Linked DNA regions of Callithrix jacchus. The protein of the gene in region 1 purifies or fractionates together with the protein of each later gene. This does not show direct contact. Links are inferred from orthologs where the notes say so. Each region holds a gene or a part of one and is shown in the gene's direction. Other genes may lie near its edges. The genes, in order: TIMM50 and HDAC6.

What was found.
Region 2: the proteins of TIMM50 (region 1) and HDAC6 purify together in Homo sapiens (affinity purification with mass spectrometry; 3 studies listed by BioGRID and IntAct, counting the BioPlex papers as one, with this or other methods). This does not show direct contact. The link is inferred for Callithrix jacchus from reciprocal best matches to the Homo sapiens genes TIMM50 and HDAC6.

The regions. Positions count from the first base shown.
Region 1 is NC_133523.1:34,962,201-34,966,794, forward strand, and holds the start of TIMM50 (mitochondrial import inner membrane translocase subunit TIM50), read left to right. Parts: upstream 1-1,627; 5' UTR 1,628-1,643; coding exon 1,644-1,751; intron 1,752-2,697; coding exon 2,698-2,848; intron 2,849-3,377; coding exon 3,378-3,409; intron 3,410-3,627; coding exon 3,628-3,649; intron 3,650-4,594. UniProt on the Homo sapiens protein: Essential component of the TIM23 complex, a complex that mediates the translocation of transit peptide-containing proteins across the mitochondrial inner membrane. Has some phosphatase activity in vitro; however such activity may not be relevant in vivo.
Region 2 is NC_133524.1:49,398,823-49,402,628, forward strand, and holds part of HDAC6 (protein deacetylase HDAC6), read left to right. Parts: intron 1-360; coding exon 361-429; intron 430-540; coding exon 541-733; intron 734-2,158; coding exon 2,159-2,308; intron 2,309-3,806.

The DNA.
Region 1 (4,594 bases):
CATGCTTCACCACACCTGGATAACTTTTTAATTTTTATATTTTTTATAGAGATGTGTCTCACTGTATTGCTTAGGCTGGTCTTGAACTCCTGGCTTCAAGTGATACTCCTGCCTTGGCCTCCCAAAGTGCTGCAATTACACGTGTGAGCTACAGTGCTCAGCGGTCCATTCTCTTGAGCCCTGACAGCAGTGACAGCAGGATTGCTGTAGCTTTTCCAATGACGTGGGGCAGGAGTGGGTGCAATCTTAAAGAGACTGGAGCTTAGTACCCAGAACCTGCTTCCCTTCCTCATTAGATATTCCTGTCTTTTTACAAATGTAAATGTATTATAAAACATTTCATCAATAAGATGAAACCCCGTCTCTACTAAAAATACAAAAATTAGCCGGGCATGGTGGCGTGCGCCTGTAGTCCCAGCTACTCGGGAGGCTGAGGCAGGAGAATTGCTTGAACCCAGGAGGCGGAGGTTGCGGTGAGCCGAGATCGAGCCATTGCACTCCAGCCTGGGTAACAAGAGCGAAACTCCGTCTCAAAAAAAGAAAAAACAAAACATTTAAGGCCGAGCGTGATGGCTCACACCTGTAATCTCAGCAGTTTGAGAGGCCGAGGTGGGGCAGATTATTTGAGTTGAGTTTGAGACTATACTGACCAACAGGGTGATACCCTGTCTCTACTAAAAATACAAAAAAATTGGCCGGGTATGGTGGCAGGCTCCTGTAGTCCAGCTACTTGGGAGGCCGAGGCAGGAGAATTTTTGTATTTTTTAGTAGAGATGGGGTTTCACCATGTTAGCCAGGCTGGTCTGGAACTCCTGACCTCAGGTGATCCACCCGCTTCGGCCTCCCAAAGTGCTGGGATTACAGGCGTGAGCCCCTGCGCAGCCCCTGCGCCAGCCTTAATTTTAATTTTTATTTATTTTGAGAGAGCCTCCTGTTGCCCAGGCTGGAGTGCAGTGCCGCAATCTAGGCTCCTTGCAACCTCTGCCTCTCCTGCCTCAGCCTCCCCAGTAGGTGGGACTAGAGGGGCGCCCCATAACTCCTGGCTAATTTTTATTTTTTTAGTAGAGACGGGGATTTCGTCATGTTGGCCAGGCTGGTCTTGAACTCCTGACCTCAGATGATCCGCTGCCTTGGCCTCCCAAAGTGCTGGGGTTACAGGTGTGAGCCACCGCGCCTGGCCAGAAGGTTTTGAGGACTGGCTTTTCAGGTCGCTTTCTAAGCCCCAGTTTCCATTTTTGACAATTGGGAGGCGAAGGCCGATGCCCTTACACGTGAGACAAGCGACCTGACTCCTGACTTTTTTTGGGACAAATCAGGCAGCCAATGATTCCCTTCATTATGGCCTCTGCTTTACCTCTAGGCAATCTGACCACTTCCCTTGCTGCATCCTTTGCCTCGGCGGTGGCGCTCCGCACGGCCCAAGTTGGGCGTGGTCCAGATGACTTTGGATCCCAGTTGGTGCCCCCAGGGACATCAAACAGAATCGTTGGGGCAAACGTGCCTGCGGCAATCCGCCCGAAGCCTTTGGTCTATTTCGGGCTTCCGTCCGCCCGCCCCTCCTCTGCGTTCCCATTGGCTGTAGCTCCGGCCCGGGGCGGGAATAAAGGGAGCAAGTGGGTGGGGCCGCGTGGCGTCAGCGCAAGATGGCGACCTCGGTAGCTCTGTTATCGCGCTTGCGGAGCGGGCTCCGGCTAGGCTTGCGGGGACTGTGCACGAGGTTGGCGACGCCGCCCCCCCGGGCTCCGGATCAGGTGAGCGGAACGAGGGTGGCGCTCTGAATGTGGGGTCCCCTCCCTGGAGTTACGGACATATCGCCGCGGCTTGGAGGTTCTGGGACGCCGCACCTCAGGGTGCTGAATAAAACGTCGCTTGGGTTTTGGGCCCCTTCCCAGCCTCCTGGGTGAATAGCACTTGCTCCCCTGGCCTGGAGGCTGGGGGCCCAGGTGTGTCCTCCAGATCCCACCTCCCACCCACGTGGGCGCCGGAGGAGGAGGGGGTTACCTGTTTCCCATCTCAGTGACCACTCAGGTGATTATTTGAGCAGGAGGGGAGTGGGACGCTGGAGTCCCAGCCTGGCCTTGGGAGTTATTTTTACTCCCAAGGTGGTGGTGGTGGTGGTGAGGGTGGTGAGGTAGACGTTTGGATTTCCAATTCGACCTGCCTCCATGTTGTCAGAGACCCAGCCATTCTGACCTCCAAGTCTATCACTTCTGTGTCCTAGTTCCCCAAGCCCCAGACAAGTGATTGCCTCTCGCCGCCTCTGCTCCCATCCCTTACCCTGTACTCTGCTACCTTTTAGCCCCAAGCAGCCAGATGTCATAACTCCCGGTCCTGTCTGCCCCTTCCCGCCCTCCCACCCCTCCCCCTTGTGCCCTGCGTTCCTTCACATCCCAGAGTTTAGGCCTTCCCATCCCTTATTCTCCCTGATCTGCTTTTCCGGGCTCCACACCCTCTAGTCGTGTTGTCTGCAGGATCCTGTGCACCTGGCCTGTTGGCTCTTAAAACTCTTGGCATCCTGGCGCTGGACAGTCTGGTTTTGACCCTCTGAGCAGCCCCACTTCCTGACTGCCCCTCCAGGGACACAGACGTCCAGGCTCTGTGGGTGTCTGCCTCTTGACTCCTGAACTTGATTCTTCTTGGACTGGAATGCTGGAACGATCAGCTCTTCTCTCTTGACCTCCCCTTTCTCAACCGCAGGTCGCTGAGATCGGGAGCCGCGGGGGCACTCAGGCACAGGGGCCACAGCAGCAGCCGGGCTCAGAGGGTCCCAGCTATGCCAAAAAAGTTGCTCTCTGGCTTGCTGGACTGCTTGGAGCTGGTGGGACCGTGAGCGTCGTCTATATCTTTGGTGAGGGACATATCGCTGCCCCCTAGTTTTATTCCTTGCCTCCCTCGTCCGCTGTGGAACCTCTCACTCTTACCCACTCAAACCTCTCCATCTTAATTCCCTGGCTCTCCTCCATAGGGCAGCCAAGTAGGACACCTACCTTTGAAAACCAGGGAATTCTTCTCCCTTCTACCTCTTAAGGTTCTAGTCTTTCTAGTTGGTTCCTGTACCAGGATAGAGGAAAGAGGGGAAGATGGGGAAGGATAGGCGTAGATCAGCTTCCTAAACTTTGTCTTTCCTCAGCACCCAAAAATCCAGCCTTCCCACTAGTTCCTTTATCCCTCAGACTCAAGAGACACAGACCCAGCCCCCTTTCTCTCAAAGACCCAGGAATCTTGGCTCCCAGCCCCCTCCTGGCTTGAATCCAGAAGGCTGTGCCTCTAACTCTCTTCCCTCAGATCCAGGAGTCCAGGCCTCCTATCCCACTCCTCCCTCAGGACCTAGGAGACTGCACCCCAATTCCTCATATTCATCCTGGTTTCCCTTGCAGGAAACAACTCTGTGGACGAAAAAGGTGCCAAGGTGAGGGGAAAAGAGACTGAGGCCTTGCCAGGAGTCCTAGCCTGTGGGTGAGAGGGGTCCCCTTTGGTTTGTTGAGGCTCATTGCTGGTCTGGAGTGAGCCTTTCTTTCCTAAGGACCTTTGCTTATTCCTCTTGGGGTCCTGGAGATTCCTTTTATGGGTGTGATGAGGTTCTGCCTCTGACATCCTAAACCTTCCATTTTTCTCTCTACCTCCCAGATTCCTGATGAATTCGACAATGGTGAGTAAACAAGCACAGATTCTGGAGTCCCCGACCCTCTCAGCTCTGTCATTTGTAAGGATGTGTCTTTCCCCATCTGGTGTCTCTGGCCCCTCCTCCTTCCATTGGGGAGGTTGGGGAGCCAGCAGCTGGATAGCTTTGTGGGGAGGGACTTTACAAAGCCCAAGCCCACTTCCCTGGCCCCTCAGCCCTGAGCAGATGGTCAGGGACAGATGGGGGTGGGGAGCCTTGGGTGGGAGGGCCTGGGGACACAGGGTGGCCTATCTCCAGACACGTGGGTTCCTGTGCCTTAGACTGAGCATCTGCAGCTCCCAACTCTTTACCCAACCCCCCCAAGCCCCTACTCCATTAGTCTCATTTTCAAAACAATGCCTCCTTCCTCCCACCCCATCTGGTTAACCAGCTTTTGGTGCTGAAATTTCTGACAAATTGGATAGTAGAGTAGTTGTCAGTCTTGTCAAATGAAATTGGTGGATCCAGAAAGCCACCTGTTTATGTGGGGACATTTGCAAACAGTCATGTTAATACAGTCTTTCACACTGGGCAGGTGAGTGAGTGCTGGTTTGACTGGGCAGATTAGAATCTTGCTAGCTTCAACAAATCACTATGCTGATTTAACTTGGGCAGGAAAACCTGGAGGTTTAAAGTGTATATGTTTACTAGTCTAACTGCTTTCGATATTGTGGGGTTTTTTTGTTTTTGTTTTTGTTTTTGACAGAGTCTTGCTCTGTCACCCAGGCTGGAGTGCAGTGGCGCAATTTTGGCTCACCGCAACCTCCACCTCCCAGGTTCGTGTTTCTCGTGCCTCAGCCTCCTGAGTAGCAGGGACTACAGGTCCATACCACCACGTCCAGCTAATTTTTTTTTTTTTTGAGACGGAATCTTGCTCTGTCGCCTGGGCTGGAGTGCAATGGCGTGATCTCGGCTCACTGCAACCTCTGCCTC
Region 2 (3,806 bases), on another chromosome or scaffold:
AGCTGTCTCGACAGAACCCAGGTCCAAGCTCCCGATGCATACTCCAGAAGACCCAGAACTCAGCCCCCAGCATTAGCTGCCCGAGGTCTAGGTCCAGTTCCCTAGCAATGACCCAAAAGAGCCCAAGGTCCAGTTCCCTAGCAATGACCCAAAAGAGCCCAAGGTCCAGCCCCAAGCACTTGCTCGGGTCTACGAGACAGCCCTTGGGACCCCAGGATCATACTTTTCTCCTTAACTGACAGGACCCAGTGTCCTGCCACTCCACACTAAATATCTCTGCAGACCCCAGGGGTCTAGCCCAGCCCTCTTCCACGGGGTGAGTATCCTAGGTTACTGAGCTTCTGCCTCCTTCCTACCCAGGATCCTGATCGTGGATTGGGATGTCCACCATGGTAATGGAACTCAGCACATGTTTGAGGATGACCCCAGGTAAGATGCTGCAGTCAGGGGCTGTGGTGTGGTCAGGGAGATGGGTGAGCACCTCAGGGGTATTGGAGCCCCTAACCAGCTATGGCCCCCTTCCCACCCCCTCCCCGGCAGTGTACTCTATGTGTCCCTGCACCGCTACGATCATGGCACCTTCTTCCCCATGGGAGATGAGGGTGCCAGCAGCCAGATCGGCCGGGCTGCAGGCACAGGCTTCACCGTCAACGTGGCATGGAATGGGCCCCGCATAGGTGATGCTGACTACCTAGCTGCCTGGCATCGCCTGGTGCTTCCTATTGCCTACGAGGTAAAGCTCAGTGTAGATCTCAGGATGTATGTGATACACCTGTGCAGGTGGCAGCCTGGGCCTGCCTCCTCAGCATGTGTGCGTTTGACTGCCAGGTGGCGGATCATATGAGACAGCCCAAGGGTGACTAATGAGGCTACTGGGGCAGTTGATGACTGTGATTACCTTGTGTGTTTGACCACACAGGTGGCTGTACAGGACTGCCTTCTCTGTGTGACACTGTGTGAGTGACTGTCTTGCCTGTGTGTGTGAGGGCCTTCTGGCTATGCAGCAGTGGCCTGTGTCCTGGCTGGATCTGTGTTGTATATGTGTGCTATCACAAGTTCTTTAGTATGTGTGTGCAATTCTGTGCAAGTGGGTATTTCTCACCACCTTTTCTCTGTGCGATGGATGTGATATTGTATGTCACTAAATGCAGCCATCTCTATGACAGCCTGTATGGGACCCTCTGGATGTGGAGGGCTGTGTGTGACAGCAGTCACTGTCTGACTGTCTGCCCTGGCTGTTTGTGTATGTGTCTCTGACTGGGAGGTAGCTGCCTTCCCTCTGTGTGAGCTGTGGGGCGGGGGGGTCAGTGGCTTGTGTATGGCTGACCCTGGGAGGGAGGGGAAGGAGGTGTGAGCACTGCTCTGTCACCCTGGGTGCCAGTGTGCATCTTTGGATCTGCACGTGCATCTGACTATGCATGGGTGGCCAGGACAGCCTTCTGTGTGTATACAACTGTATGTGCAAGTGACCAGCTCTTGTGGACACACCAGAGTGCATGTGGCTGTTGTGGCTGTGTGGTGATGGCATGTGTATGATTGTGACTGCAGGATGGCTGTGGGTTATTGTCCTTTTTAAGAAACTATGTATGTATGTGTGCGCATGACTAGTGCAGATATGTAGTACTGTTCTATATGGGACTGTCTGTGTGGGATTACACGTGGCTTTGTGTGACCATCTTCTCTGTGTGTGGTGCTTGCGTTGCCATCTTCTGTTATGGAAGTGTGTGAGCACCCCTCTTTGGCACTATGTACATAAAACCCTGTATCTTGTGTATGTGTGTCCCACGTTTGACCCTGGGGTGTGTGTGTGAGGACATGTCTCTGTCTCTCCATTTCTCATGTCAGTCTCTTGACATCTGAGTCTGGTCTCATGACTCTGTCTCATGTCCCCATCTGTCCATTTTTGCTGTCTCCATGTTTCTAGATCTGCATCTGTTTCTTCTATCTCTGAGTCTATATTTCTCTTCTTCCTCTCTTCATTTTCAGTCTCTGCTTTTGCATCTCCCAGTCTTCAGGCCCCGTGTCTCCATCTCTCTGATTTGCATCTCCATGTCTTCATTTGTCCTTTTCTCCATCCATGTCTCCTTGTCACCACCACTTACTGCCTACCAAAAGCCCTTACCCTCATGCTTATACGTCTCTTCTCTCCCTGCCTCAGTTTAATCCAGAACTGGTGCTGGTCTCAGCTGGCTTTGACGCTGCACGGGGGGACCCGCTGGGGGGCTGCCAGATATCACCTGAGGGTTATGCCCACCTCACCCACCTGCTGATGGGCCTTGCCAGTGGCCGCATTATCCTTATCCTAGAGGTAACTCTCTCTTGGTAACCTTTTCCCACAGTGGGAGGGTAGTTTGGGAATCTTGGCACTATCATTCAGTATAGTTTCCTAAAATCTCCTTTAAGTGTCCCTGCCTGGAATTGTGGGCACACACTGGGTAGTAATTGGGTAATAATAATAAGAATAACAGCAACATTAACAGCTTTGAGTGCTCACTGTGTGCAAAGCACTCTTCTGAGCACTTCATGTATCTTATTCATTTAGTTACTTGGCAAAGCAGCCTTATGAGGTAGGGTTAGCTTTTCCCCTCTCAAGATCAGGGAAACTGAGGCACAAAGAGGCGTGATGACTAGATGACTGAAAGAAATGTGCCTGAGATGGCACATTTACTGATGGCAGAACCAGGACTTGAACCGATGCAGCGTGGCTCCAGGGTTTGTGTTTTTTACTGTTACCTGAACTGACTCTAACAAGTTCCTGGGACAAAGAAAATTCACTGACCTTTGTAAGTGACTCGGTATCCCCATGCCCTGTGCCTCAGTTTCCTCATCTTTATGAGGCTGGCTAATCATGGAGGAGTGCCTGGCATATAGTAAATGCTGGATCTGGTAGATCTGTTTTTTTTTTTTTAATTGAGACAGAGTCTCGCTCTGTCACCCAGGCTGGAGTGCAATGGCGCAATCTGAACTTACTGCAGCCTCCACCTTCCAGGTTCAAATGATCCTCCCACCTCAGCCTCCTGAGTAGCTGGGATTACAGATACCCATCACCACGCCTGGCTGATTTTTGTATTTTTAGTAGAGATGGGGTTTCACCATGTTGGCCAGTCTGGTCTTGAGCTCCTGGCCTCAAGAAATCCACCCACCTCAGCCTCACGGAGTGCTAGAATTACAAGTGTGAGCCACCACACCTAGCCCCTGGTTACTGTTATGCATTGTTCAGATACTAACCCGCTCAGCAACCTTCTGTGCTGTTATTTTCACTACTTTACAGATGAGGAAAATAAATCACAGAGAAATTAAGTGGCTTGCAAAAAGTCCCACTTACCATGTGCCCAGTACTGTTTGTGACAGGGCATGGTGGGAGTTAAAAACACAGATGACTCCATCAGAGAGCCAAAGTTCAAATCCCAGTGCTGCCTCTACAGCTGTTAGGACCTCAGAAAAGTCATCTAACCACTCCGAGCCTCAGTTTTATTTATTTATTTATTTTTTTGAGATGGAGTCTCGCTCTGTCACCCAGGCTGCAGTGCAGTAGTGCAATGTCAGCTCACTGCAACCTCCACCTCCCTGGTTCAAGCAACTCCCCTGCCTCAGCCTCCGGAGTAGCTGGGATTACAGGTGCACACCACCACGCCCGGCTAAGTTTTTTGTATTTTCAGTAGAGACAGGGTTTCACCATGTTGGCCAGGCTGGTCTCGAACTCCTGACCTTAGGCAATCTGCCCTCCTCAGCCTCCCAAAGTGCTGGGATTACAGGCGTAAGCCACTGCGCCCAGCCTTTTGCCTCAGTTTGTCTGTAAAAAGAAT